7 linked regions of the Canis lupus familiaris genome follow. The protein of the gene in region 4 interacts with the protein of the main gene of each other region in a biochemical or structural test. Links are inferred from orthologs where the notes say so. Each region holds a gene or a part of one and is shown on either strand. Other genes may lie near its edges.

The links.
Region 1: the proteins of EP300 (region 4) and JUNB form a complex in vitro, tested with the Homo sapiens proteins (2 studies listed by BioGRID, with this or other methods). The link is inferred for Canis lupus familiaris from reciprocal best matches to the Homo sapiens genes EP300 and JUNB.
Region 2: the proteins of EP300 (region 4) and STAT2 form a complex in vitro, tested with the Homo sapiens proteins (3 studies listed by BioGRID). The link is inferred for Canis lupus familiaris from reciprocal best matches to the Homo sapiens genes EP300 and STAT2.
Region 3: the proteins of EP300 (region 4) and TAL1 form a complex in vitro, tested with the Homo sapiens proteins (3 studies listed by BioGRID, with this or other methods). The link is inferred for Canis lupus familiaris from reciprocal best matches to the Homo sapiens genes EP300 and TAL1.
Region 5: of the proteins of EP300 (region 4) and FEN1, one has a biochemical effect on the other in vitro, tested with the Homo sapiens proteins (2 studies listed by BioGRID, with this or other methods). The link is inferred for Canis lupus familiaris from reciprocal best matches to the Homo sapiens genes EP300 and FEN1.
Region 6: the proteins of EP300 (region 4) and NEUROD1 form a complex in vitro, tested with the Homo sapiens proteins (3 studies listed by BioGRID). The link is inferred for Canis lupus familiaris from reciprocal best matches to the Homo sapiens genes EP300 and NEUROD1.
Region 7: the proteins of EP300 (region 4) and NOTCH1 form a complex in vitro, tested with the Homo sapiens proteins (2 studies listed by BioGRID, with this or other methods). The link is inferred for Canis lupus familiaris from reciprocal best matches to the Homo sapiens genes EP300 and NOTCH1.

What each region holds. Positions count from the first base shown.
Region 1 is NC_049241.1:49,756,628-49,760,616, forward strand, and holds JUNB (transcription factor jun-B), read right to left. Parts: upstream 2,619-3,989; 5' UTR 2,323-2,618; coding exon 1,279-2,322; 3' UTR 782-1,278; downstream 1-781. UniProt on the Homo sapiens protein: Transcription factor involved in regulating gene activity following the primary growth factor response. Binds to the DNA sequence 5'-TGA[GC]TCA-3'.
Region 2 is NC_049231.1:996,561-1,000,349, forward strand, and holds part of STAT2 (signal transducer and activator of transcription 2), read right to left. Parts: intron 3,649-3,789; coding exon 3,555-3,648; intron 3,406-3,554; coding exon 3,358-3,405; intron 3,277-3,357; coding exon 3,193-3,276; intron 3,038-3,192; coding exon 2,939-3,037; intron 2,837-2,938; coding exon 2,701-2,836; intron 2,579-2,700; coding exon 2,526-2,578; intron 2,397-2,525; coding exon 2,302-2,396; intron 1,707-2,301; coding exon 1,570-1,706; intron 1,396-1,569; coding exon 1,213-1,395; intron 980-1,212; coding exon 922-979; intron 1-921. UniProt on the Homo sapiens protein: Signal transducer and activator of transcription that mediates signaling by type I interferons (IFN-alpha and IFN-beta).
Region 3 is NC_049236.1:13,538,996-13,542,784, reverse strand, and holds part of TAL1 (T-cell acute lymphocytic leukemia protein 1), read right to left. Parts: intron 3,575-3,789; 5' UTR 3,574-3,574; coding exon 3,140-3,573; intron 3,047-3,139; exon of another isoform or gene 2,908-3,046; coding exon of another isoform or gene 2,846-2,907; intron 1,969-2,845; coding exon 1,874-1,968; intron 1-1,873. UniProt on the Homo sapiens protein: Implicated in the genesis of hemopoietic malignancies. It may play an important role in hemopoietic differentiation. Serves as a positive regulator of erythroid differentiation.
Region 4 is NC_049231.1:25,041,607-25,045,395, forward strand, and holds part of EP300 (histone acetyltransferase p300), read right to left. Parts: intron 3,343-3,789; exon of another isoform or gene 3,241-3,342; intron 3,070-3,240; coding exon 2,919-3,069; intron 2,801-2,918; coding exon 2,654-2,800; intron 2,100-2,653; coding exon 1,986-2,099; intron 1,243-1,985; coding exon 1,077-1,242; intron 316-1,076; coding exon 151-315; intron 1-150. UniProt on the Homo sapiens protein: Functions as a histone acetyltransferase and regulates transcription via chromatin remodeling. Acetylates all four core histones in nucleosomes. Histone acetylation gives an epigenetic tag for transcriptional activation.
Region 5 is NC_049239.1:55,293,001-55,297,544, forward strand, and holds the start of FEN1 (flap endonuclease 1), read right to left. Parts: upstream 2,860-4,544; 5' UTR 2,672-2,859; exon of another isoform or gene 2,458-2,671; coding exon of another isoform or gene 2,435-2,457; exon of another isoform or gene 2,256-2,434; intron 2,230-2,255; exon of another isoform or gene 1,989-2,229; intron 1-1,988. Other genes in the region: TMEM258 (transmembrane protein 258), read left to right, coding at 2,435-2,457, 3,185-3,272, 4,148-4,257. UniProt on the Homo sapiens protein: Structure-specific nuclease with 5'-flap endonuclease and 5'-3' exonuclease activities involved in DNA replication and repair.
Region 6 is NC_049257.1:25,207,294-25,211,536, reverse strand, and holds the start of NEUROD1 (neurogenic differentiation factor 1), read left to right. Parts: upstream 1-1,248; 5' UTR 1,249-1,378; intron 1,379-3,109; 5' UTR 3,110-3,120; coding exon 3,121-4,191; 3' UTR 4,192-4,243. UniProt on the Homo sapiens protein: Acts as a transcriptional activator: mediates transcriptional activation by binding to E box-containing promoter consensus core sequences 5'-CANNTG-3'.
Region 7 is NC_049230.1:48,973,230-48,977,494, reverse strand, and holds the start of NOTCH1 (neurogenic locus notch homolog protein 1), read right to left. Parts: upstream 3,073-4,265; 5' UTR 3,019-3,072; coding exon 2,958-3,018; intron 1,340-2,957; coding exon 1,258-1,339; intron 1-1,257. UniProt on the Homo sapiens protein: Functions as a receptor for membrane-bound ligands Jagged-1 (JAG1), Jagged-2 (JAG2) and Delta-1 (DLL1) to regulate cell-fate determination.

The sequences.
Region 1 (3,989 bases), on a different chromosome or scaffold from region 4:
CGGCGGCGCCCGGCAGCCCGAGCAGCCGCCCCGGCAGGACCAGACCTGGCAGTCGCCCTGCGCCCTGCTCCCAACCTGGCACCCGGGAGGGGAAATTGGCAGGCGGGCGCCGCCCTTCCTGGCGGGGGTGGGGGGGTACCGCGGCGGCGGCGGCGCGAAGGCTGCAGCAACCCCCCGCCCGGGTCAGGTCAGACGGAGCGCGCGTGGGCGCGGCGGGGCCCCGACGCCGACCCGATGGGGCGGGCTCGGGGCTGGCTCCGGGACCCAGGAGCTTGGCCCTCCCACCGCGGACGCTCTGGACCCAGGCCTGGGGCTTTCCGGGCCCCGGCAGCCGCCTGCCTGGGAAAATCCCGGCCCCCTTCCCGGCGCCGCAGCCCTGCCCGGCAGAGCGGGGGAGGGGATTCCCGGAATCTGCCCGGAGACCGCCGGCGCGTCACTGGACAGAATCGGCCCATGTAGGGGCAGCGCTTCCGCTGCGTCAGCGGGGAAAGCCCCAGCGCGCGCAGCTGGGCGGGGCTGCGCCCGCGCACTGCGCGTCTCGCCCCAGGCCTCCTGCCCCCTGGTGATGGGCGGCTGGACCGCGTACCCGCCCTGGCCCTTCCAACCCCGGGGAGGAGGGGGCCAGAGAAGGGTCCGCCGCCCGCACTAGGGCTGCAAGATGCTTAGGTAGAGCTGGCGAGGAGGACACGGACACTGGCGCGAGTCACAAGCAGGAGTGGGGTGGGGGCAGCCCACTATTCTCCTCCCTCCTCCCGCCCGGCTTGGAAAAAAAGACAACAAATTAATAAAGAACCATTTTTTTTTTTACTTAAATAGATTCAATAAAAAGTCGGAACAACAAACACACACACACACAAACACATCTTAAAATAAACTCTTTAGGGACCGAGTGCGTGTTTCTTATCCACAGTACGATGCAGAGGGGGGAGGGCAGGGGGCGGGGGTCCCTTCCCCAGTGTCCCCGCGGGCTTGAGTACCGGGCGGCGGGGCCAGCTCCGCCGCGATCGCCCCCTCCTCCCCTCCCTGTTAAATACACAAATATATTATATTCAATATGAATCGAGTCTGTTTCCAGCAGAAAAAAAAAAAACATACAAAAAAACGCGAAAGGGGGGCTTGTAAACGTCGAAGTGGAAGGACTGGACGCAGAGCGGGCGGGCAGGAGTCCAGTGTGGTTTGCGGTGCCCCGGGGGCCGGTGCCCACCGCCTGCCCCCTCGCCCCTTGGGAGGCGTGCGCCCAGTCGTCCAGACTGGGGGAATGTCCGTATGGGGGGGCGTTCAGAAGGCGTGTCCCTTGACCCCGAGCAGCAGCTGGCAGCCGTTGCTGACGTGGGTCATGACCTTCTGTTTGAGCTGGGCCACCTGCTCCCGGAGGAGCCCAGCAGTGCTCGACAGCCCCGCGTTCTCGGCCTTGAGTGTCTTCACCTTGTCCTCCAGGCGCGCGATGCGCTCCAGCTTCCGCTTCCGGCACTTGGTGGCCGCCAGCCGGTTCCGCAGCCTCTTGCGCTCCACTTTGATGCGCTCCTGGTCTTCCATATTGATGGGGGACACCGGTGGCGTGGCGTCGCGGCTGCGCGCCTCAGGCACGGTCTGCGGTTCCTCCTTGAAGGTGGAGGCTCCTCGGCCCAGGCCCAGTTGCGCCGGGTGGCCGCCAGCGAAGGGTGGCGCGTGTGGGAGGTAGCTGATGGTGGCCGTCGGGTACGAGCTCCCAGTCCCGACGGCGGCCCCGGCGCCTCCAGAGGGCGCAGAGGCTGGGGAATAGCTGTTGAGGTTGGTGTAGACTGGAGGTGGCTCCGGGCCGGCGTAGACGCCCCCGGGCCCAGCCGGGGGCCCCGAGCTGGCGCCCAGGGACACGTTGGGGGGCGTCACGTGGTTCATCTTGTGCAGGTCGTCCAGCGCTTTGACAAAGCCGTCTGCGAAGCCCTCCTGCTCCTCGGTGACACCGCCCCCGGCGCCCCCCGCACCTCCGCCGCTGCCTCCCCCGCGGGGGTAAAAGTACTGTCCCGGGGGCGTGGGTGTCGTCGTGATCACTCCGTTGCTGTTGGGGACGATCAGGCGCTCCAGCTCCGATGAGGCAAGCTTGAGCGACGCGCCTGTGTCCGAACCCTGGCCGGAAAAGTAGCTGCTGCCACCGCTGCCCTCTGGTCCCGGGCCCCGCGCCCCGGGGGCTTTGAGACTTCGGTAGGGGTCGGCCAGGTTGAGCGCCAGGCTGGGTTTCAGGAGTTTGTAGTCGTGTAGAGAAAGGCCGCCCGGAGCCCGGCCGTATCCCGCCGCTGCGTATGAGTCGTCGTGGTAGAAGGGCTGTTCCATTTTAGTGCACATCCGGGCGGCCCAGGCGGTCTGGGGGGGTCCCTGCGGGGCCGCCCCGGGCCTCGCTGCGGCGAGCGGCGCCCTGTCCGCGACGGTGGCTGGACTGGGTATCTGGACGCGCGTTCCCAGGAGCTGGCACCGGCCGGGAGAGGCCAGCCGGCGGCGGTGCGCGGAAGCTCCGTGCGGCTTCTCGAGCCCTTCGGCCCCTGTCCGGCGCGCTCGCTTTCCTGGTGTCGCTTCCCCCTGCTCCCCGCTCCCTGCTGACTCCGGTGCTGGCCTGGCCGCGCTCAAGGTCCCGGCAGCTCAGGCTGAGCCACACGCCTTTATACGGCTATTGTCAGCTACGGAAGTGCGCTCCGATTGGCCGTCGCGCGAGCCGGGCCCCCGCGCCCCCCTCCTCCAGCGTGGGGAAGGGGAGGAGGCGGCTCGCGTCACTGTCAGGAAGCGCGTGTCCTTGTAAACAGCGGCCACGGGCTGGGTGGCTCGGCGCGGCTGCAGGGGGAGGGGCTCAGGGGACCCCGGGGTGCGCGAAGGAAGGGGTGCTGGTCCGAGATACACGGGGAGGGACTCCAGGGAAGGCACTGATTCCCCTGGATGCGAGGAACTGTTACAAAGCAAGTGTGTGTGTGTGTGTGTGTGTGTGCGTGCGTGCGCGTGTGCGTGTTGGGGCGGAGGGCGGGGGTGGTCTCCAGGGTGTACACAAAAGGCCTGAGGGACTCGGAGTATTCGAGGGGGGTTGAAGGGCTGATTATATACACAGGGAGACCCCACAAAGGTGAGACAGGAGGATCAACCAGAGTAAATGAGAGAGGGGTAAGGTAATGTGTGGGGGTCCTGAGTACAGAGGGGTTAAAGGACTTGAATTTTAATAGAGGGACTGAACCCAGGAAAAGTGAGGGGGGGATCAAAAGGGCAAAAGGAGGGGATGGAGGATCCATTATGCAAAAAATGAGTAGGGGTCCTGAAGTCCATGGGAGAGACTGAGGGCCTCCATAAGGGGAATCTAGTTATGTAGAAAGTGAGGGCTCCGGGGTATACCGAGTCTGGGAAATTATGGGGGGGGGGACCCTGTCAGAGGTTGGGAGTCACTGGGGTCATCTGCAAAGCCCTGATGAAGGAGAGTTAAGAGTCCGGACACACTTTCAGAGCCGAGATGATAATGACACAGGGTCTCCAGCTGAGACATGAGAGGAGGGGTTTTTGAGGATCCTGGGGATTTGGACTGCTGGATCTTCCATGACTGGCCACCCCTTCTTGTGGGTGCTTTCTAGGCGCCAGTATACTTTGCTCCCATCTCCAAGCCCTCCCCCCGTGACCCGGGGCTTGACCGACACCGTGCCGACTCAGGGTGCTGAACCTACCCCGACGGCCCGGGCGCGGTCGCCCAACCCCACTCCTTCCTTAGAAACAGGCTGGGGAAAGAGCGCCGCGGCAGGAAGTGTGGCAACAGCCCCGGGGGAAGGAGCCCGGCCCTGCCTCCGTCACTCGGATCCTACGGGACCGTGCGCCCCGCCCTGGGTCCGGTTGGGTTCTGCGCCTCAGAAGAGGAACGTGGACGTGCGACCCTGGCGGAGGCCAGGGTGCGCAGAACACGCCCAGCCGCATAGGCCTCTAGTCTCCCTCTCCCAGCAATGGTTCAGCCCGCAGCACCCGCAGGCGACCGCGGAGGCAGGCGGTCC
Region 2 (3,789 bases), about 24 Mb from region 4:
ACTCTTGATTTCTGCTCAGGTCATGATCTCAGGGTGGTGAGATTGAGCCCTGCGTCGGGCTCCATGCTCAGAGCAGAGTCCGCTTGAGATTCTCTCTGCTTGTCCCTCTATTCCTACCCCGGCCCTACTCGTGCATTCTCTCTCTCTCTCTCTCTCTCTCTTTTTAAATAAATTAAAAAAAAAAATTTTTTTTTAAAGGTGGCAACAGGGCAATACAGCAGAGGGTTTAAGAGCACAGGCTTTGGAGTTAGGCTTGCCAGAGTTTGAATCCTATCATTTATTAGATAGGTGATCTTCAGCTTTCTGTGCCTCAGATTTATCATCGATAAAATGGAACCATCACCACCTAATAACGCTTCAGAGAGTAGGATGGTTAAAAGCAGGACTTTGGAATCTGACAGACCTGGATCATTTACTAGCCATGTACCTTAGGCATGCCATTTCACCACACTAAACCTCAGGCTCTTCGGCTGAAATACCCATGTCTGCCTCACAGGACTATTATGGAGATTCAATAAATAAGAAACTAAATGCAAAATATTTAGTCCAGTACCTGCCACATAATAAACTTTCTTAAATATGGCTGTTATCACCTAATTGGATGGGTTCTCAGAAGAATTCAATAAAATAAAAAGAAATCTGTTTCTAAAAAAAAAAAAAAATCTAGTACTATGCTTCAAGTAGATGCCCATTAACGTCAGTGATTATGACTCTGATTAGCAGGGAAGCCCTGTGGAAACAACCTAAGGATAGCAGCAGAGCACTAGGGAACAAAGAGGCTAGCAGAACGAGGGAAAAAACCTAGAGGTTGGAGACTATGGGCCCGTAGGAAAGAAGGCCAGAGAGGCAAACTGAGCGGGTTTGGGTCGCCACATCAGCCAGCAAAGGCCAGGGAGGATGGGCAAGAAATGCATCTCTCACCTGTTAGAGACCACAATGAGCCTATGTTTCAGGTATTTCCTCCGTTCTTCGAGATTAACTGTGGGGGACATATGCAGGAGGACAGGGAGGTCAGTGGACTGGACACCTGGCCCAAGGACCCCTCGTGTAAACGGTCTTGATAATTGTATTTCCCTACTAACTAGCCATGTCCCAGGGACAAATCCTTTCGTTTCTCTGGCTACCAATTTTTCCATGTCTGGAAGAAAGGAGCTGGATCTGTAGATGCCTGAGTCCCTGCAATCTTCAGTGACATACATCAACGATCCTTACCTTTCTCCTGGTAGTAGCACCCAAAAGCCTCATCCCGGGGGATTCGGGGGTAGAGGAAGCACAGTGGGTTCTCAGGTATGTTCTCTTCGGTAAGCAGCTGGTAGTGGCGAATGATTTTGGTCAGTGGGAGAGACTGAAGCACTTCCTTGGTGAAGGGTTGCAGAGAGTTGATGAGCACCTTATCTGCAGAATGGATGTGGGAAGAGGCAGGCCTGAAACAGTCGGGTCTAGGAGTCCCCCACCCTGGCCATCTAAGCCCCAACCTGCTGAGGGATTCAAGACAGAACCAGGGAAGCCAAGGGCTGGCAGAGGGACATAAAGGACAGGCTGTGGGAACATCGGGGCGAAGCAGCTGACCATCATCCTGATGTTCCACCCAGGAGCAGGTGATGCCCCCTTCTGATGTTTCACTGAAGCGCAGGAGAAAGGTGCCAGAGATGGTCTTCTTCAGCAGCCTGCGTTCCTTGCTCCGGCTCACAAAGCCCATGATGCGTCTGAAACAGAAAGCTGCTGTGAGGCCCTCATGCCTCCCTGCTGTCCTGCTGTCCTGCTCTCCTTGTACAGGGAGACAGCGCCAGGGTTTGGCCCTTGCTCTTGGCCAAGTCACTTCCTCTTACTGACGGTATCCACCTTCTAGGGCTGGAAGAGGTTTGAGGATTCAGTGTGGTCACAGATGAAAAAGCACCTTGGAAAGGCAAATGAGCAGGTAGTGTGATGGGAAGAGCACAGGCCTGCAGTCAGATGAGGCCTGGGTTTGAGTCCCAAGCAGGCCCATTGAGTGAATTCTTTTTTTTTTTTTTTCATTGAGTGAATTCTTTTTTTTTTTTTTTTGAGTGAATTCTTTAACTTCTCTTTGACTCCACACGGTTGTAAGGATTACACGAGAGAGTTCATAAGGAGCATCCAGCAGGTTCTGGAGCACAACAGATGCTAGGACTATTATCATGAGCGAAAACGTCAGGCGCGTGACCTTGCACCAGCATTTGCTTGCTCTCTCCCTTTCTGCCACATGAGGGCGCACAGAGTCCACTCGAGCCCAGAAAGGCAGAAAGCTAGGGGTGGGGCGAGGGAGACTGACCAAGGCCTTACCCATCATTCCAGAGATCCTTCAAGTGGTCATGTACCAGCTCCAGAATTTTGTCTAACCACGTCCAGAATGGTAGCTTGCCAGGAGGGCTCTCTCGCTGCAGGAGGAATGAAAAGGCAGGAAGAGACATGATTAGTCGCCCCCAGTGAGCAGATGGCAGTAAGGAGGGCAAGGACTAGTGTTTGCACAGGGGCTAGACGTAGTCACACAGGATGCAGGGAGTTACCTTAGTGAAGTCGGCCCACGATAACAATGCGCCCTCAGTCCTAGAGTTCTGACCTGTGGACAGACAGACAGTTCAGGTAATCGATGCAGGCAAGGCCAGGGTCCTTGGAATAGAAAGGGTGGAGGGCTGGGGAGACTACGGCTGGGGAAAGGCTGGGAGAAAAGGAGGTTTGTACCAAAGAGCTTGTTCCTCAGCATGCTCAGCTGGTCTGGGTCAAGGCCTCGGCCAACATAGGAGGAGAACTGCCAGCTGAGAGCAGGGCCCAGCAAGCTCCAGGGTGCCATGGGAGGGCTGGAGAAGAACTGCTGATTCTGCAAGAGTGGGAAGAGGGCAGGATGGCTCAGAAGGAGCACCCTCAGGCCAAGCGTCCACACCCTTCCTTGCCACCCAGCACCATTAGCACCATCTCCTACCTGGGGGTTTGAGCTAAGCAGATTGAACCAAAGAACCGAGGCCCAGGCAATGGAAACTTGGTTCATATTGGAAATAATCACCACAGGGAGGGTGTCTGTCTGAAGAGAAAACAAGAGTCAGAGAGAGGGATGGGATGTTTCTAGCTTTGACAGAGGCAAAGGAGAACTTCCCACTGGAGAGGCTTCCTTTAACGCCTCCTGAATGCCTTCCGCCAGATCTGCTTCATCTCTCCCTGCCCTCCATTTCCACTCACCTTCAGCTCCTCCTTCAGACCCTGGTAGGTGTATTTGACTGTAATGCTGATAATGTGCAGTTCCTCCGTCACACCCAGCATGCCCTAGGACAGCCGAAGACACAGCGGTCAGCGGGCCCTGTGGCAAGCTCCTCCCATCCCCCCGCTGCTCTGGCCAGGCCTCACCTTATTGCAGCCCTTTCCTGGGCCACCTGAACGTTGTTCTACCAGAGTCTGTGAGTTGACAGGAAATAAAATAAATGCCAGAGTGAGGACTCCAGGGTCCCTGGAACCCCTATTTCGCCTCAAGACTTCCCAAGGCCTGGGAACTTCCCTCAGCCCGTTGCACCGGACCAGAACCTTAGGCTGCTAGCCCTTCTTACCAGGTAACCGAAGTCCCAAATTAAGCCCTGACTCTGCCCCTTCTCGGGGGTCAGGGTTTTCTGGTTTGAGGTTAGAATGTTGAACTTCCGGAAGCTATTCCAGGAGGAAGAAGATATATGGAGAAGAGGAGAAGAGTTATTCTAAATACTCAGCAGGAAAACAACAAAAATCCTACTTCATTCCAGACCTCCCCTCCTCCCTTTGTCCAACCCCCAACCAAGTCAACCTCCTTCT
Region 3 (3,789 bases), on a different chromosome or scaffold from region 4:
CACACATATACACACACACCTGAGATCCCTGAGAGGATCACTCACCCCTGGCCCCCCGTGCCTCTGAAAGCTGGCTCTCCAAGCCCCCATAGGGCCCAGCCCAGCTGACTCTTTGCCAAAGACCAGACCCAGGCTGGGAAAAACACAGCACACCTGCTGGCGGTCCTATCCTGGGCTGCTGCAGAGGAAATAACTCCATGTTCTCTGGTCTCCACGCCAGACAGAGGGGTGTCCCTCAGCTGTGACATAAGGAGGACTGTCCCTGCCCAGGAGGACGCTGAGGGAGCTCCTGGGTGGGGAGGGGGCCTTACAACTGCTGTCCCAGTTACAGTTAGCAGAACCTATCCCCAGCCAAGCCCTAAAAACACTTTATCCCATTGGACTCTCAGCAACCTGTGAGGTTCCCCCCTTTACAAATGAGGAAAATAAGAACCAGAAAAGTTCAGCAGCAGGAATCCACACCAAGTTCCATTTCTTCGGACTCTTTGGTGAAATCTCTGGTTTCAAACCTCCATGGACATACGTACTCTGCATACCACACAACACATACCCTCCTCTTCACCTCTGTTTTTGTCTGTTCCTCTCTGGCACCTTCCCAGAGAACCATCCGCCTCTCTGCACCTTCCTCTTCCCTAGCCTGTCCATCCCTCTGCGGCCCTGCCTCTCTGCACCTACTCAGCATCCAGACATTTATGAGTAATGGCTTCCCTATACTTCTGCACTCCCCCCCAAACCCTCACCCCCCTGGCCCCTTCTCCTGCTTCCTCTCCTTTGTGCCTGATTCTCATTGCTTCTGCCCTCTGTGCAAAAGGCCTCTGCCCTGGAGAACTTCGGAGCAGGATCAGCCCCAAAGTTCCAGCAGTACTGACACCTCATCACCCTTCCCTCTTGGACCGACAGCTCATGCCCCAGGCTGCTCAGGGCTTATGAGGTCTGTTCCTTGTCCAGACTCCAAGCCCCCTCCCCTCCAGAACACTACAGAGGACTCCTCTCCAGAAGCTCCAGCTCAGTACACGTCCCTCCTACTGACCCCTTGATTAAATCCCAGTCTGGCCTCAAGGCCTCAGGTGGCCTTCCTACAGGAGCCCCAGGCCCCACACTGGCAGCTCCAGGGTTGGGCTCCTGGTCCCCGGCTCTGAAGAGCCTGCTCTCCTGCCCCCTGGTGTTGGGTCCCATCTCCTACATCAGGTCAACCCTGGGAAGAGGGACAGGATACTCCTAATTTCCCATCCATCCAACTCCTTCCCCAAGTTTAGCGCCCAAGACTACTCAGGTAGTTCACAGGAGTATTGGCGAGGGCCTTCTGGGGGACGCAGGGGAGGACGGCAGGGTAGGATCTATGATGTCAGGAAGGAAATGCCAGGTCTCAGCCCTGGGTATGGAACAGGGGCCAAGAGGGTCCCACAAAAAAGGGACCTGGGACACGGACCTTGACGGTGCAATTCCAGGCAGGGAGCAGACTCCAAAAAAGGCCTTGGGAGGAGGTACAAGAAATCTCTGAGGCTCGGTGCTCAGAGGCAGGGAGCACCATGTGTGCTGCCCTCCCCTGGGATTCTTGCACAGTGTACGAATGGGGACTAGAGCGCGGACGGACGCCAGCTGACCCCAGAGGTTTGCGCTAAATGCCACCCTGTGTCCTCACTGCCATGTTCCCTCTTCCCAGGATGGTGAGGATGGCCCCCAGCCCCACCCATGACTTGGCCTGGTCCCAGGGCAGTTGCAGGGCAAGGACTCCAGCAGACTCGGATTCCCAGGTAGCCCCACCCCCAACTATGTGAGCCGCCTAGGGAGTAGTCCCTGAAGATCCGGCCCCTGCTGGGGCTCTCGGACCAGCAGGAGGGGTGAGCACAAAGGAAGAGGCGGGGAGACTCACCGTCTGTAATCTCCATCTCATAAGGGGAGGGCCTCCTCTTCACTCGGTTGCTGGTGGCGAACATAGGGAAGGCATCTGGCTCCCCAAAGAACCCACTGTGGAAGGGAGTAAGCAGAGCACAAGCTCACACGCAGGTGGAGGGCGGCGGGCTCCTCAGCGATCCCGCGTGCTCTGGGCGCCCGCCCCACCCCGGGGAAACACAAGGGCCACCCTGCTCCCTTCACACCTGAGTCCGGGATAGAAGGAGCATCCCACACAGACAGCCACACACAGTCACAGAGTGCTCCCACTCTCTCCCCTTGGGGAGGCAAGCGAGGGGAGAAGGGGCCCCATGCCCACACACCGCTCCCCACCCTTCACAATCAGAAGTGAACACACAGAGCAAACCCAAAAACGAACACACATGCTCCTCAGGCAGACGTACTCCCCTTCCCAGACACAAGCACACAATCCACAGGCACCTCCCCTCCTGCACAGGTACTCACACAGGCAGCTGTGGCCTTCACACCTAACGACCTGCAGCCCTAGCACTTCACAGGACACACTGCCCCCCACCCCAGAGATCACCACACCTGCATCCCGCCCCATGGGGCCCGTGGACAGACAACAGAGAGTAAACCTGGCCTCACCACTGCTCACATGCCCCTCACTGCCCTCCCTGGGCTCTCCATAGCTTCTTCCTCCTCGGGGTCTCCCACTAGCTGCCCCCATTGTCAACCCTTGCCTCACCTTCCGGTCTCCACCCTAAATCTACCCCTATCTCCCCACCATCTCAGTGGCCCCAGCAGGGAAATGGACACCTAAACTGGGAGGGGAGCGCAGGCCCCGGCCCGGAGACCACAGCCCGGGCCAGGGGCAGAGGGGCCCCAGAGGGGAGGAGGGATCCCCGCCCCACCGCCCCACCCGGGCCAGCAGTTCGGGGAGGGCGGGGAGGGCGCCGTCTGCAACCACCCTCAGATCCCTTCCTCTCACCTGTCCGCTGAGGGCTGCGGCTTCCAGAAGGATTTCAGAGCAGCGAGCGCATTCAGACACATTCTCACCTGGGACTCCCACTCAGGCGACTCCCTTGGGTCCACACCCCACCCCAGCACACACACGCCCCAACACGCAGCCCGGCCCGCGCTCCCCAGGGCGGACCCTCCGGGTTCGCACACTGGCTCGCGCGCCCGCCCCACGGAGCCCCCGCGCACACGCACACCCGCCCCGGGGCTCGCAACGCCTCCTCCTCCTGCGCCCCCCGCCCCCCCGTCGTCCCCCGGGCCTGACCTGCCGAGCGAGGCCAGCGGCTGGCCGAGGCTGTAGAGCAGCGCGCGGCCGGGGGCGGCGGGGGCCGCGAGCGCGGGCGGGCTCAGCTGCACCATGCGGCCGTCGCCGGGCAGCTCCGCGGGGGCCGAGGCGGGCGCGGGCCCCGGGGGCCGGCACAGCTCGGTGGTGGGCACCCGATGGCGCGCTTCGGCCGCCGCCGCCTCGCGGCCCTTCCCGTCCCGCGCGGCGCCGCCCCCGCCGGCAGGGCCGCCCCCCGGGCCTCCGCGCGCGCCCAGCTCGATGACCGGGGGCTCCGCGGGGGCCGCGCGGCTCGTCTCCTTGGCGACGCCGTTGAGCAGGACCAGGTGCGGGGGGGCCATGCGGGCCTCGGCCGCGTCCCGTCCCTCCGGCGGGGGGTCACTGCGGGCCGCCTCGCCCGGCGGCCGCTCCGTCATCCTGCGGGCAGACAGACAGACAAGCGGACGCCCGCTCCGACAGCCGCCCGCCCAGAGCGGTGCGCCGGGGGCCCAGCGGGATTCGCGCCCCGAGACGTGGAAGAGGCGCGCTTGGCGCCACGTGGACAGGCGGCCCGGCTGGGACAGCGCAGGGGTGCCTGCGAGACCCAGGGCCTGGGGGCACGGAGAACGACGGCAGAGACATTGGAAGAAGAG
Region 4 (3,789 bases):
AAAAATAAATAAATAAATAATTGATTAATTAAAAAAAATAAAGCTCTTTCACGCCGAAAGCTTTAAGACCAAGTCAAAAGTTGAAGCCTGATGGCGGATTATACTCGAGAATCAAGGTGGAAGCTGGGAAGGAAAATGCAAAGCCCTCACATCTGTGCTCTCGTTGCTGGTGTTTTCTTCTCGCTTTCGCTCTTCTTCCTCCTGTTCTAGCTCCTTAATGCTCTCTTCCAGAACGTTGGGCCAGAAATCACCCTCAAAGTAAGGCAACTCCTTTGCACTTGTTAATCGATCTTCAGTAGCTTGTTTAAAAATATCCTGTGAAAATACCAGGTACAAGTAGGAATTTGGTTTTTTTTTTTTTTTAAAGAAGCATTTATCATTCAGAAGCAGTCACAGCTAGCAGACACAAGAAACCTGAAGGATTATAATGTCTTCTGAAAGAAAGGCAGCAGAGAGATTTATACCTAAGCCCCATGGCCCAGGGGGACATTTAGTCTTAAACAGTAAAAACTCAAGGTCTGAGGTCAGTGGTTCTGGTTCTGTCTTTCCTCTGCCTGTGAGGATAGGGAAGTTACCTGCCTTTATAAAGCCAAGTGGGACATCTTCCTGCGAGGACTGATGGCTCAGGCCCCATCAATCACGCCGCAGCCTTTACTATTGCTGATGACACAATGCAATACAATGTGAGGAATGCCTGCCTTGTTCCCATCACCCATCCCCTGACTGAGAAATATGTTCAAAACAACCCAAACCACAAATACTGGAAACTGCATGGCCACAGGCTGCTCTGCTCTGCTGCCTGGGAAAACATCCAGTTCTTACTTTTCTCCCCAGGAGTAAAAACAGATAAGAAACTTATCTGTTCAAGTTCTTATCATGAGATGCCCTCTAATCATGAATGGCTATTAAGAATACGTTTTTCATCACATCTTTAAAACAGAGATTTGTTGATCTAAGACATTTAAAACTGAGTTTTTCTTGGTTTGAAAAAGGGAGTACAGAAGATTTTTGTTAAGATAGTCAAATAGCAGAATACAGAGCTGCAGGATCAGTCATCGCCCCCCATTCCTCCTGACCTTGTAGTCATGGACGATTCGCTCAGACACAGCCTTGTCAAGCATCTTTTTGTACCACTCCTGTAGTCGCTTGGGCTTGGGTATCTTCTGGTCAGGAGGATGGCAATGGAAGATATAGTCGTCTCCCTCACTTGGGGGACATGCCCAAATATGTCCTGTTGTATATCTAACAACACAAAGAGGGGGAATATTCAAGAGAAAAGTTTATCATCTATTCCAGAAAGAATGCTACAACGTGGAGTCAATATGGAAACCAATGATTTTTTTTCTAAGACAATATCAAGTGTACAACCCAGAATCAGATCGAAATTCTTAGGCCAGATTCAGGCCTAACCTACAGCACTTACAATGGGTGTCACATTGCCTAGTTCTTCTTAGAGGCTAACCCTGGATTCCCAAATCCCAAATTTGCATGTGAAGACAAAAGAAAAGCTACAATGCAAAGGAACATGGATCCATTCCAACAACACGGAACAAGGAATGGAAGAAAGCTAAGTGATAAAAGGAAGAACTTGCAAGGTGCGGTAGTGAATGTTCTCAAGCACACGTATACCCTGAAGGTAAAGAATCAGGCTAATTTGAGTATTTCCAGACCCTAGTCTATTTTGGTTCTGATACCTAGGTATGAGAGGGTCAACTGCAGTTCAAGGTTCTGGCCCTGAATGAGTACCAACCTTCCAATCAAACTGTACCTAACACCTTAACTGAACAAAAGAAAACTAATCTGGGATAAGTATGACTAGGGTCAACATATCCATTTCTGTCCGACTGGCAACACTGAGAAAAGGGAACAAAGTCACCTCTCTGCTTTAATCTAAGTTTCACCACAATACCACAGTGGTAATTAGTTAAAAATTTAATTAGTTTAAGCTCATTGTTTTTAAAGATAGCATTTGTCAATATGCTTACCCTAATTTCTTGACGTATTCTAAATATCCAATTAGAATTTCATGATAGACTGCAGTCCTCAAGCATTTAGGACGGAAGAAATGAACACTGTCAAGGTAGGATATGTAAACTCTCCTGTATCAAGTGGGGAGAAAGAAACCATGTCAAGTCACATAAGGAGTTCTTACTAATATGGCTAAAAACACAATCTCCTCTGTGCTCTTTTTCACCTCATTTATAATACACATCACACAGTCACAGTTAAGTACATGACTAGGCTGTGCACTCTTTAGGAGAGTCTGGTGAGCCTCAGTACCCAGCAGCGCTTGAAGCATAGTGTATTAGTATTTATGGATCCAAGTGTATTCTGGTAGCATTCTTATTCTGGCCTTTATACTATTTTGGAAACAAATTCTAAACCATATCCTAACTTTACTTGTGTGACATTCTTTCACATTATCTCCCAGGCAAGGCACCTAACACAATCAAGAATTAAGCCCATTTTCTGAAAAACAGTCTGCTTCCCACTTCTCATTTCAGGCTGTTTGATACTCCTCCTTATTACTATGAACACAGTTTGCATTTCCATTTCCAAAGCAAGTACATCAAATAGTTCCTTGCCCACAATGCTTTTTGCCTATTGAACTGCAAACTCCCACTCAACTGGAAGGCAGTGGGCCAAGTCCTACCTCTGGTTGGGTGGAGGGCAGTCGGAGCCATACTCCTGAACGTGCATGCCGAAGAAGCACAAGTCAACACCGTCTATCTCTTCAAAGGCAAAGAGGGCTTTGGTTCGGTAAGGAAAAGACTCTGCCATCTCTCCGCTATCTACAAACCTACATAATCCAGATTGGAAAGAAAAACACGAGGTCTCAGTTAAACCAGAATCATCAGCAATTAACTGTCAAGTGCTTGTAGAACCACAAGAGAAGAAAAGGGAAAATTATTGGATACCTTGCTTTCATGCCTGGTTTCACTTCCACAGTTTTATCAGAAGCATGCACTACCCGAACAGTGACTTCTCCCGACTCAGGGTGATTCTGACGTCTAAGAAAATCATTCACACGATTCTCCAGAAAGGTGCCAAGCCTGGTAGATGGCAACCCTAGAAGTGCAGAAGTGAAAAGTTCTGCAGTTAGCCAAGGTGCAAATTCATTATTGTTAACTCTTAAGCTTCAATATCAAATATCATTTTTGTATTCTCCGTCCAAATAGGATAACCTGATTTTGTTAAAAGTTAGCAATGTGATCAATACTTGAAAACCATCGTTTTTTAAAAAATAGGAGCTACTTCATGAATTTGTGTGCCATCCTTACATAGGGGCTATACAAATCTCTGTATCATTCCAATTTTAGTATATGCGCAGCTGAAGCAAACATGGTAGTGAATTTTAGGTGTTTTCCACCCAACTTTTTACTTGGAAAATCTTCTAATTTCAGAAGTCACAAAATACAACATCCACATGCACTTTGGCTTGATTGCAGTGATATTTTAAAATAACAATGGTTGGATATTATGAGAAGCCTTATAGGAATAAAAAGCAATCTGTAGGTCAGTAAAAACTGCAAAGGTATCCACAAAATTAAACCAAATATTATAATGCAATAATCTCGACTGTATACAGGATACAATCTTTTTTTTAAGATTTTTATTTTACCTATTTGACAGAGAGAGAGCTAGAGAACACAAATAGGGAGAAGAGCAGAGGGAAAGGGAGAAGTAGGCTCCCCGCAGAGCAGGGAGCTCCACGCGGGGCTCAATCCCAGGACCCCAGGGATCATGCCCAAGCCGAAGATGCCCAAGCCAAAGGCATCTGCCCAACTG
Region 5 (4,544 bases), on a different chromosome or scaffold from region 4:
CCAGTTGTTGCTGTGACGGTATTTTGGGACATCTATCATCAGTTGACTTTAAGCAAAAGAGATCATCCTTCATTATACGGCTGGGCCTCATTCACTCAGCTGTAAGGCCTTGGGAGCAAAAGCTGAGATTTCCCAAAGAAATTTGGCCTGAAGGCTGCAGCATCAACTCTTGCATGAGTTTCTAGCCTGAGGTCCCGCCTGATCATTTTCAACCTTGCCAACCTCTACAATTACCTGAGCCACTTCCTTAAGATAAATCTCCTTATATATGTCCACATCCTATATCTTACTGTTCCTCTGGAGAACCCCGACTCATAGAGTAGCCTTGAAGGAGGATTGGCAAAGAACATCATATCTGGACAGGAGTTATGTGGCTTTCTCACAAGCTCCCTTCAGTGTCCCCTCAACACGGTGATTGGTTTCTACTTCTATGATGTTGCTAGGAGTTTTAAGGCTTTCCCTTTGTATTTTCTCTCTACCACTAAGTCTGAAATGTGAACTCATGGCTCCCTACTAGACCCTAGGTCCCAATCTAGGAACCCGGCAAGCTGTAGTGGCCTGAGTCCCGTACTGCACTTCTGTGGACAAATTACTTCCTAGGGTAGTGTTTCCCGAAATTCGGTCACACCCAAATCACCCTCACAATGTCTTGCCATTTCCATGTAAAACCCGTACTTTCATTCGCCTAATATTGTTTTTTTAAATGGACACCATGGTTTTAAAAACGAAGGTAAGGGACACCTGGGTGGCTCAGCAGTTGAGCACCTGCCTTTGGCTCAGGGTGTGATCCTGCGGTCGGTCTCAGGATCGAGTCCCACATCAAGCTCCCTGCCTGGAGCCTGCTTCTCCCTCTGCCTACATCTCTGCCTCTCTCTTCTGTGTCTCTCATGAATAAATAAATAAAATCTTAAAAAAACAAAACAAGGGATCCCTGGGTGGCGCAGCGGTTTGGCGCCTGCCTTTGGCCCAGGGCGCGATCCTGGAGACCCAGGATCGAATCCCACATCGGGCTCCCAGTGCATGGAGCCTGCTTCTCCCTCTGCTTCTCCCTCTGCCTATGTCTCTGCCTCTCTCTCTCTCTCTCTCTGTGACTATCATAAATAAATAAAAAAAAAAATTAAAAAAAAATATATTAAAAAAAAAACAAAACAAAACAAAAAAAACGAAGGTAAGTTGAAAAAGAGAACTCAAGCAGTATGTCTGTGCTGTATCAGTTACATTTTAATGCGTTAAACGTATAACTATTAAAAAGGATTTTTTGCAAAATAAATAAATAAATAAATAACAATAAAAAGGATTTTTTGGGTGCCACTTAAAAAGTCATCGCGTGCCCATTGGTGTTATGTGTCCGATACGCCCAAGAAATATTACACTAGATCTTTTCGTTGCTCCCACTTTTCAAAGGGCTCTTTCTAAAGCATCAGGGACCCTGTACATACCCCCTTCTACCTAAGTCCAAACACCTCAACCCGGCATCAGGATCTTCCGCGCTCTGCTTCCCAACCTGCCTTCACAGTCTGGGGGCCAACACAAAGGATGGGATAAGACCTGCCCTTCCTCCCGCCATCCTCTAACTCCTGCCACACCCTGGGGGCTCGGATCCGTACATCCGATCCTCTGGGTCCAGCTTCAGGCTGGCTGTCCTGCTAGGAGGCGTCCCGAGGGGTCAGGACCTGCCGGCCGGCTGGCCTCCCCCAGCCCCCAACACTGGGAGGCGGGAAAGGGGTCCAGACCAGCGAAGTCTCCAAAACGTTCCTCGTGCAGAATCTCGGTCAAAATACACAACGGCCCCCTAAAGTGGAGGCTACTTCCCTCCTTCCGCAAGTGAAGCAAGAGGCTCAGAGGTTAAGCGACCGACCCAAGTCGCGCAGCGGGAGGGCGGCGAACCCGCGCCCCGGCCTCCGCCCCGCGCGCGGCAGACGGTCCCCCACAGCACCCAGCGCGAGGCGGACCCGCCGCCCTCGGGGGCGCTGCCCGTGGGGCCTCACCTGGCCTTTGCGGCGCGAGGCCTCCGCAGCTAGTGCTCAGTCCGGCGCTGCCCAGGACAGTGCTCAGGCCCTCCCCGGCTTCCACTCTGCGGCAGACCCGGTCCCGCTCCGCCGCCTTCCAAAGCCCGCGCTCCCGTCACGTGACCCGCCGCCGCGCATAGCCTCCTGGGAAGTGTAGTGCACCGTGCCCCGACCCCTCGGCCAGTTCCCCTCGTGGCAAACAGTCCCGCCAGGGGCGAATGAACCCTCTCAGGGGATCTACCCTACCCTTCTCCATCGCTTGCCCCGGCTCTACGTCAGGCGCCCACAGGCACTAGCCCCTGCTACACCCGAACGCACAGGACTACAGATCCCACAATGCCACGCGCGTGGGTGCACTTCCTCTTCCGGCCGGACAGAGCGCCCGCTCCTGCTGCCGACGTGTGATTCCGGTGGCGGAGCGGCGGATGAGCCTACACCTGGCGAGATGGTGAGAGAGTCCCTGAGGCCCCCTCGGGGCCCGCCCCACATTCCATTTCTCTCGCAAAGGCCGCAGACGGCCGGGATGCAGATGGCGGGAGGCTCCTGTATCTTCCGGCTCGGGCCGAGGGGCGGGAAGGGAAGCCCCTGGCGGTGGACTCGTTAGGCCGAGGTTTCGCGCTCGCGACTCTTAGGGGTGAGCCGCGTGAGGTGCATTTTAATACCGTGAGCTTTTATGTGTCGGCTGTGATTGAGCTCTTGTGTCTGTTTGGAAGGTTCTCCCCCTTGCCGAACTCGTGCTCATCCTACAAGGCCCAGGGCAGGTGTCGCCTTCTTGGTGAAGCCCGTCCAGCTCTCCCAGGCGCTTGGCCGCTCTGCCCTGGGCGCTCCCGCGACCTCTGTACAGGCTTGTTGCCGCAGGTCATGGACTCCTTTGTTATCTGCCACGCCTCCGAGTGACCAGCCTCTGACGTGCCTCCAGCTCTGGGACGCTGTCTTATTCATCTTTGTATCCCCCAGTGCCCAACACAGGGCCCGCAATTGGAGGCCCAGTAAATGGCAGCGATTGTCTTTGTCGTGTTCGGGGAGGCACAAATGTTTACTGAATTGAATTCCAGTGTCTCTTAGGACAATGGGGTCAATTCATTTCTCTAGAGTTGTTATGTTCTGGACTTTAGGAGCGTTGGCTGGTGAGTGACAATGGAAGTTAACATTTGTACGGAACTTTACGTTTACAGCCCTCCTTCACAGGCATTATCTCATAATCTTCCCTGTAAGCCCGAAGAGGAAGCAGACACCGTTCGAGCAACTACTCCATGCCAGGAAGTGAGCTACATGCTTTGACACTTTGACGTTGGTCATCCTTCTTAAATCATACATCAGCCCTATGAGTGGTGTTATTATTATTATTATTATTTTTTTTTTTTTTTTATGATAGTCACAGAGAGAGAGAGAGAGAGAGGCAGAGACACAGGCAGAGGGAGAAGCAGGCTCCATGCACCGGGAGCCCGACGTGGGATTCGATCCCGGGTCCCCAGGATCGCGCCCTGGGCCAAAGGCAGGCGCCAAACCGCTGCGCCACCCAGGGATCCCTGAGTGGTGTTATTAATGACTACTGAGATGCATGTTACTCGGTAGAGCCAGATTATTAACTGAAGTCTCTTGGCCGATAGATCCTGAGACTCCATAACAGCACGGGGTGAAGCACGCAGATGTAGCAGTTGAGATTGGGTCCTGGCCCAGGCTCGGAATTACAGCAGGATTCTGAGCTTGGTGTCCACAGACGAGGGTCCGTACAGCTCCTAAAATTAGAGACAGACTTCTTGCTTGTGGTTTACCCTGGGCAGAGTCCATACCTTTTCTCGCATGTTTTTTAATAGTCTTCAGCGGTCTCAAAAAATGTTAGGAACCACACTGGTTGATAGCTAATCGATCACCTTCTGTGTCAGCATCAGACCCTCAGCTGCCCTTCTTGTCTCATATTGAAAAAGTAAAGTATCACCTTAGTTTTAAGATGTCATTGTTGTCATTTCCGAATGGGATCGCTCGATGTTGGTTCCGAGGGACTTCCATATTTCCCAGGCTGAAACAGACCCATAACAGTCCTAGCAGGAGGAGGCTCCTTGATGACCTCACATTCCCCATTCCCGGGTTGAAGTCTTGGGATTCTTTGATAGCTCTGATCTCATACCCTCCCTTAGGAGCTCGAGGCCATGAGCAGATACACCAGCCCAGTGAACCCTGCCGTCTTCCCCCATCTGACCGTGGTGCTATTGGCAATTGGCATGTTCTTTACCGCCTGGTTCTTCGTGTATCCTTTTACTGAGCAGCCCGTGGGCCTGAATTAGCAAAGTGGGAAACCACCCTGCCAGTTTTGCGCTGGTGTGGGGGTAAAGGGAAGGGAAGGAGTTGAAGGAAAGCTGCTGAGGTTCAAGGTCAGGTGGTGGCCTGATTTCCCAAACTCAGGCGAACTCAATTTGCTCTTCAGATTCCCAGGATGGTGACAAAAGGCTTGGCTGGACTGGAGGTGGGGGATAGGGGATCTGAAATCGGGAAAGTGGTAAGAGGAGGGTGTGCTCAGGCAGTGGGAAATCCGAG
Region 6 (4,243 bases), on a different chromosome or scaffold from region 4:
GTCTATGACTGCAACCGGCCCGGGGAGGAATGAATGATCATTCAAATCGCCAAACACAAACACGGGCCTCTTCGGGAATCTCTACGACCTTTGCTTGACAGGTGGAGGTTGGTTGAGTCAAGTGAGAGTCTGTGAGGTCCGGAGGAGTCCTGGCCATTAACCCCCTCCAGAGCCCTGCCAAAGGCCTTTCCCGAAGGAGGAGCGAAGAAAAGACCCACTCGGTGTAGGCCCTGCTTGCTCCCTTGGAGAAGGCTCGTCGGAACCAGGCGCCTTTTGCAGGTCGGGGCCGTGCAGGGTCAGCTTGGGGCGGGAACACGGGGTGTCGGCGGGGGAGGGGGGCATCGTCTGCAAGGATCCAATGGCCTTGGCGAAGCATCAGAGGAGCCCCCGAAGCTTTCACACAGAGAGTTCTGGGACCGAAAGAGCCAAGGCCTGAGCGCGCCCAGGCTGCGCCCGGACCCAGGGGTGATGTACGGGGGGCTTCGGACAGAGGCCGCTGAAGGCGAGGCGCCCCAGGCTGCACGTGTGCTGGGGGCAGTGACAGGCACAACATTTCTACCGTCGAGGCTGGGCCTGGGTGAGCCGGGGACGGAGGCCGCGCTTGCAGACCAACCCTGTGCGCCAGGCCGGTAGGTCTCCTTCGGGGTTTGGCGGGGATGAGGGGATGGCGGGCACACGCAAGCGTCCGCCACGCGGGGGAGACCCGAGGCGGGCGAGCCCGGGAGGGCAGCAAGTGTGGGGCGCGCCCCGGCGGCCACCGGAGCCAGGCCAGGCCGCTCCCCCGCGCGCCTCGCTCCCGGGGCTCCCGGGGCTCCCGGGGCTCCCGGCCCGTGCGCGCCCCGACGCCGGCCGCCCTCTCCCATCGGAGCCCCCCCTGCAGCCCCCCTCCCCCGCGCCCCCTCTCCCTTCTGCCGCCTGAAAGGGTTAATCTCTCCTGCGGGTAAAAACAGGTCCGCGGAGTCTCTAACTGGCGACAGATGGGCCACTTTCTTCTGGCCACAAAGGGGCCGGAATGGAGCGCTCCGCGGCATACAAATGGGCGGGTCACGTGGCCGCCGGCTCCTGGCTGGACCGGGAGGACCATATGGCGCATGCCGGGGAGGCAGGAGCTGGGGCGGGGGCAGGGCTGGGGGGAGCGGGCCGGGGGCGGGGTGGGGAGGGCGGGGGAGCGCGCGGCCCGGACGCGTGCGCAGGCGCGGGGCGCACGGACCTGCGGGCGCTCGGCTCCCCGCCCCGCCTGCGCGCGGCCCCGGCCGGCGGCTATATAACCCGGGCGCCCGCGGCCGGCGCGCGAGGAGCTCGCCCCACGCACGAGGCGCGGCGTCCGGGGCCCGGGGTTATGAGCCCGCCACTGCTCAGGACCTACTAACCGCCGCAGGTAAGCACGGCCCTCGCCTCGCTGCCCGGGGATCCAAGCGGTCGCGGAAGCCCCCGGCGTCCCCGCACGGATCCCGGGGCCCCGGACGCGCGCGTGCATCCACGGGCATCCCTCCCCTGCCCTCCCCTGCCCTGCCCTGCCCTGCCCTCCCCTCCCCTCCCCTCCCCACGCCACGCCGCGGGCAAACCCGCTCGCAGCTCGGCTCGCGTCCATCACCCAGCGCTGGCTCTCCAGTTTTTTTTAAAAAAATGTTTTAGTGTTTTGGTTTTTTGGGGGAGGGCCTCTTTGGGTTTTTGTAAATAATGCACCCCAACTCTGATGATTGGCTTGCTGGTGGTGATTTCAAAGTCCTGGAAGCAAACGACTACTTGACTTTCTCACTCCTTCTAGTAAGGGAAAAAAGAGAAAAAGAAAAAGAATAAGGAAAAAAAAAAAAAAAAAGGAAAGCCCTGTCACCAAGATGCATTTTGTGTGCATGTGTGTTATACGCGATTGGAAGTGCCGAGTTATCGTTTCAGTGACTAGAAGGGGCATTTGAGACCCGGAGTATATTCCCCCCCCCCCACACACACACACCCCATCCCCAAATAACCCACTTGACAGGTAGTTGGGTTGGGAGGGAGGGGGGATGTGGAGACGGGGAGAGGAGCCGACTCCTGCTACCTGTTACTGCTTCCGAGGCGGCCAAGTCCCCAGCAGCCAGCGCAGGAGCCAGAAATTCAGTTATCTCACTAAAGGCTCTTTTTTTTTCCTTAATTTTCTTTATTAGAAGCGGCAACTTCGCTCTTGCCAATCGCTGACCATCATAATTACTCAATCTTTTTAAAGAGAGGTTTGAGGCGAACTTTGAAAAGCCCCCAATAAAGAGCGGGCGGCCCTTTCAATGGGCTGTTTATTAGAGAGGAGCCTCCCGCACCTGATCCCAGGCGCCGGGCAGGGCGCTGTGCGCGGTGCCCCGGCCTCGCCCCGGAGCCTGCGCTTTTGTACAAGGTGGAAATTCAGCGGAGGGACAGGGATGGGGGGCGAGGGGGGAGGAAGGCGAGGCTGGCACGGGAGCCCCCTGCCCACTTCTGTTGCCACACGTTTCGTTGATGGCGAATTAATTGGACGGGAGCTACTTTTTCTCCGGCACGCATTTGCTCTTCAGTCTCGGGGTAGTGTGTAATCTTCTTAAAAATCACTGCCACCGTTAGTTAGCAAATTACGTAATGGCCCTTTGCAGCTGTAATCGCCAGGGCAGAGAAGGGGACGCACGGAATTGGGATTTTTTTTTTCCAAACTCATCATTTTATATGTGTGTGTGTGTGTGTGTAGTTGTGAGTGACTTTGAACTCACGCAGATAAAGGTGGAGTAGTCGGGGGGGGGAAAAAAAAAGCAAACAAACATGAAGTAGTGGAAATGCATGCTCATTTTCACGCATGTATCTCTCTGCCGCCTAAGCACCGTAAACACACTTTCACCCATCGCTAGGAAACACACCTGCTTGCTCTCTCCCCCACCTGCGCCGCTGCCCTCTGTCCCGGGGGCCTGTTGTCAATCAGGCCGGCTAAGTTTTTCTTAGGAGCATCTGTCTGGTCAGCAGCGGTCACTCCCTCGCGCGTGCATCTCTGCCAGGTTAGGGAGTGGGAGCGCGGGGAAGGCGCAGGTCGTTGGCGAGCCTAGCGCTTTTCTCCTTTTCTTTCTGTTCCCCTTCCCCCCTCCCCCCTGCCCCCGCCCCCTGTTGAATGTAGGAAACCGCATCATGACCAAATCGTACAGCGAGAGCGGGCTGATGGGCGAGCCTCAGCCCCAGGGTCCTCCCAGCTGGACGGACGAATGTCTCAGTCCTCAGGACGAGGAGCACGAGGCAGACAAGAAGGAGGACGACCTGGAAGCCATGAACGCCGAGGAGGACTCGCTGAGGAACGGCGGCGAGGAGGAGGACGAGGACGAGGACCTGGAGGAGGAGGAGGAAGAGGAGGAGGAGGACGACGACCAGAAGCCCAAGAGACGCGGCCCCAAGAAGAAGAAGATGACCAAGGCGCGCCTGGAGCGGTTCAAGCTGCGGCGCATGAAGGCCAACGCCCGGGAGCGCAACCGCATGCACGGGCTCAACGCCGCGCTGGACAACCTGCGCAAGGTGGTGCCCTGCTACTCCAAGACGCAGAAGCTGTCCAAGATCGAGACGCTGCGCCTGGCCAAGAACTACATCTGGGCTCTGTCGGAGATCCTGCGCTCGGGCAAGAGCCCCGACCTGGTGTCCTTCGTGCAGACTCTGTGCAAGGGCCTGTCGCAGCCCACCACCAACCTGGTCGCCGGCTGCCTGCAGCTCAACCCTCGGACCTTCCTGCCCGAGCAGAGCCAGGACGTGCCCCCGCACCTGCCGGCGGCCAGCGCGCCCTTCCCGGGGCACCCGTACCCCTACCAGTCCCCGGGGCTGCCCAGCCCGCCCTACGGCACCATGGACAGCTCCCACGTCTTCCACGTGAAGCCGCCGCCGCTCGCCTACAGCGCGGCGCTCGAGCCCTTCTTCGAGAGCCCCCTGACCGACTGCGCCAGCCCCGCCTTCGACGGGCCGCTCAGCCCGCCGCTCAGCATCAACGGCAACTTCTCCTTCAAACACGAACCGTCCGCCGAGTTCGAGAAGAGCTACGCCTTCACCATGCACTACCCCGCAGCGACCTTGGCAGGGCCCCAGAGCCACGCCTCGGTCTTCTCGGGCGCCGCCGGCCCGCGCTGCGACATCCCCATAGACAGCATCGTGCCCTTCGAGAGCCATTCGCATCACGAGCGAGTCATGAGCGCCCAGCTCAATGCCATCTTCCACGACTAGGGGGGCGCGTCGGCTTCAGCATCCCCCCCCCCCGCCCCGGGAGGGGCGCCCA
Region 7 (4,265 bases), on a different chromosome or scaffold from region 4:
TCCCAACAATAGCCGCTGCGCTTCCCCTGAATCCCAGCTGTCGGTCTCTGAATGAAAGGAAACAAGATTTAGGGCATCAAGCGTCGGTGAGGCTTCTGGAGGAAAAGAAAAAGGCCCCAAAAAAGCAAAAAAAAAAAAAAAAAAAAAAAAAAGTAGTGTGCATTCATTAGCGTCTGACAAAGACACAATCCTCTTTGTCTATTAAACTGCTCACAGACCTGTTTAATTGGCTTCAGTTTGGGGAGGGTGGGGGCAGCGAAGGAGGGGCTGCCTGCCCACGGGCCAAGGGTTGTCAAGGGAAGGGGCCCTCGGCAGTGGGAATGCAGCACGCTGAGGAGGACCCAGGACCGGCTGGGGAGCCCTTGCTTCCTTTGTGCCCCCCACCCCCACCCCCGCCCTGCGCCCCGGCGGGAGGAGGGGACCTTTTTCCAGCCACCAAGCACCACCTCATAGTCCCATCAAGGAAGAAGTCAAGCTGAAGGGCACCAGCCACAACAGAAAAACTTTGGTGAGGCCGCTGCGCAGGGGCAGGCAGGGCACACAGGCGAGGGTGCATGGGCAGGCAGGGTGCGGACTCTAACAGGACTCCCCGCCCGAGGCGGGGGCGCCCCCGCAGGACACACACATTCCCACTCCAGCTGCGGACCAGCCCAGCAGGTGATGGGCCGGATGGCAGCAGGGCTGAAGCTACAGATGCCAAGACAAAGACCAAGCTCTGGCAGGTACACTCCCACCCACCCCTAACCTATGAGATGGGCTCCCGAAGAGTTCCCCAACCTCACCTGAGGTTGGAGAGGGGGTGCTAGAGGCCGCAGAGGGCCCAGAGGGGTGGGGCTGAAACAGCCCATTTCTGTGAGGGTCAGCACTGGCTGATCTTCGGGAGGCACCCCTATGGGCAGGGCTTCTCTAAAGGTCCACAGCCTCCCCTGGCAGGGCAGTCGTTTCTCAGAGACTTTAGGAAGAAACGGGGTACTGGGAATCCCCACCTAGCACCCCAGGAGTCCAAGGTGGTGCACAAGGCGTGCTCGAACCTCCAGCGGCCAGACCAGCTCCACACGCAGCATAATTGCTGGTGATTAAGTAATTGCCAGACTTTGTCCAATAAAAGTAGCACGTGACCGCGCCCAGCCTTCTGGGCCATCTCCAGAAGACAATGGCCTAGTGTTCTGTCCCTGCTGGCCCCTGCTGCAGAAGGCAGGGGCTCTGCTCCCGACAAAAGCAACAGGTCCCCACAGGGGCGCAGGGGTGCGTACTCACACACAGGCTTCTGTGCCGTTGAGGAACACTTCACACTTCCCGCCATTCAAGCAGCTCTCACTGGGCTGGGAACATCGCAGACCTGGGAGGGGCGAGGCAAGAGATCAGCCTGGGTGGCACAAGGGCCCTCAGCCCAGGGAAAGGCCCACCCCAAGGGGTACAGCAGCCCCTCACCTAGACAGCTCTGCCTCATCACGGGGTTGCTGGGGGCAGGGGACCTCAGGAACCCTCCCAAATGGGGACCCCAAAGGGCTTCCACATTCTGCCCAGAGTTCTGTAGTCAGAAACGGGGCGGGGGGGGGGAGGGCAACAGGTTGGCAGGGTGGCAGGTGGACAGGTCATGCTCCATATGGGCCAAGGAGGCCTGAAATGCCATCTGGACAACAATGAAGGGAATCTGAGATGTCCCTGGGCCACTCTTCCAAACTCTGCACCCCCAACCCATCTTCAACGGGGAGCCCAACTGGGCTGGGGCCCCTATCCAGCCACCAAGATTGTCTTGCAGTTCAAACATGTTCTGGGAGGGGGCGGTGCTGAGGGGTGGGGTGGCCACACTGCCCCCCACCCCAGCTCGTGGGAAAAGGCGACAGCTGCAAAGCTCAACGCCCCGCCCGCCGAAAAAGCGCCAGCCTCGGAATCAGAGCAGCCCATTGTCAACAGGGCCGCCTCCTGGGGCAGTGGGGCTGCACCTCGGGGACCCGGAGCCGCCTCCAGGACACCCAATACCTGCTCTGCGTCGGTCACCCCCAGATACACCCAGGGGAGGAGGATGGAGATGCCCTATTTGGAAAGAATTCGACCCCATTCCCAAGAAGGGATTAATCCAGTCGTTCCCTCCCCGTGGTACCAGCGACCTGTGAATTAAGCCCCTTGGGGGGGGGGGTGCAGGTACGGGATGTGACTTGGAACCCCACCTTCTGGAAGCAGGGAGCTAATTCTCCCCACGAACTTTCAGGGGAAGAGAGGACTCAGTCACCACCGGATCCCTGATGTGAAGTGGAGAGAGAAGCGTTCCTTCTCCACGGCCTCTCAGCCCTCGCTACATTTCTAAACTTGAACTCCGCAAAGTGAAAGTCAGGCCGGTAGGGGCTGGGTGTTCCGCACCCCGCACCCCCCCCCCCACCGGCAAGCTGCATGGGAGCGGGGACGGGGGTGGCGATCGGACGTGGGAAGGGGGTGCTGCGTCCTTCCCTCGCCAGCCCTCCCGAGCGCTGAGGCCGCCCGGCCCCACCCGCCCCGCATTGCTCCGTAAGGGCAGCGCCGCGCCTGGACCCCACGCTCCGCGCCCGGCATCCGCGCCCGGCATCCGCCCCCGGCGCGGGCCAGAGGCGACGAAAAAGATAAATGGTCCCCAAAGCAACAGGAAACCAAAACCGACTCGATTCAAATCGAAAAGGAGTAGGCAGCCAGCCCGCCTGCCCCGGCGGCAAGCCCCACGCGTGGCTGACGGAGGGCGAGCCCAGGGCTGGGCCCGCCGGGGTCCCAGGCGCTCCGAGCGCCCCGCGCCCGGCTTCCTTCACACCGGCTCCGCGCGCGGGCGGCGCGAGCCCTTCCCGTCGGTCCTTCTCCTGCGCCCGGGGTCGCCCCGCGCCCCTCTCCCGCCCCTGCCGCCGGCTCCGGGCCGGCCGGGGCGCGCGCGTAGGCGCCGCCAAAGTTTCCGGAGGGCGCAGAAAGTTGCGGGCTCGCGGGCGGGCGCCTACCTCGTGCGGCGAGCGCGGGCAGCAGCGCCAGGCAGAGCAGGGGAGGCAGGAGCGGCGGCATGCCTGCCCGCCCGCTGCCCGCTGCCCGCGGCGGCCTCCCGAGCCGGGACAGCGGGGCTGCCGCGCACGGGGCGCGCCGGACGGTCCCACGAGCGGCGGTGGCGGCGGCGGCGGCGGCGGCGGCGGCGGCGGCGGCGGCGGCGGCTCCCGGCTTCCCGGCGGGCGGGCGGGCGGGCGGGCGACGCGGGGCCCTCGCGGCCTCGGGCCCGGCTCGCGCCCCGGCTCGTTCCTCCGCTGCGCTCGCGCCCGTGCCCGCGCCCCGCGCCCCTGCGCTCCCTCCCGCGGCCGAGGCACTAGTGAGGCGCAGGCCGCGGTGCGCTCCGCCCCCCCTCCGGCCCCGCCCCTCGGGCCCGCCCTGCCGATCCCTCCGCACCCCTCGCCCTCGCCCTCGCCGGCTGCGCCCCTGCGTGCCCCGCGACCTCCCCGCGTCTCCCCGCAGCTGGGCGCGCCTCGGACGCCCGGGCCCCCGGGGGCCGGGGGCCGCGGCGGGGCGAAGGGGCGTCGGAGGTCGGACCTAGGGACTACTTCTTGTTCGAAAGTTTTCAGCGGCAAAAAGTTTGGTTCAGGACTGCGGAAGGATCCGCCTCTGACTTACGCCGCGCTCGGCGACAATTGACAAAGATTTGCATCTCAATAGCCGAGGAGGTGCGAGCTGAGTGGGGCGAGTGGGGCCTAAGGGTACGTGCGCGGCTGAGGAGCTGGAGGAGCGGCCAAGGCCTGTGGGGGACCCGGGGCCGTGACTGGAGCTCGGGGAGGACTCGTGCCCCCCCGGCCGTAGGGAAGCCCCCGACCCAGGGGCTCAGGTCCCCGTGGCGAGCCTCCAGGAGACAGGCCGGGCACTTGACCCCCAGGGATGGCGGCGCCGGGGCCTCTGTTTCTGGAGAGCGCTGGGTGCCCCAGTGAAACCACCTGGGGCCAACGGCTGCCCAACGGACTGCGCTGCTACTACTCCCCCAGGAGGGACCCGCCTCCAGACGCTCTTGCTCGCTGACCAGCCCCTTCTTCAGGCGCCTCCCTTTCAGATGCCCGGCAAGCACACGAGTCCAGCAGACCCTCTGCGAGCCCCAGGGCAGCCCTGGGCCCCTCCCACGTGCTCCTTCCGGATGATTTATTTCTCCGCCACGATGCCAGATTTGGGCATCCTGTGCCAAGTGGGGTTAAGCTCTGGGCATTCCAGATGCCTGCCACGGCCCCTGCTGAAACCAAAGTTCATGGCCTGGCCCTGGGGACAGACACCCCCATCCCAAC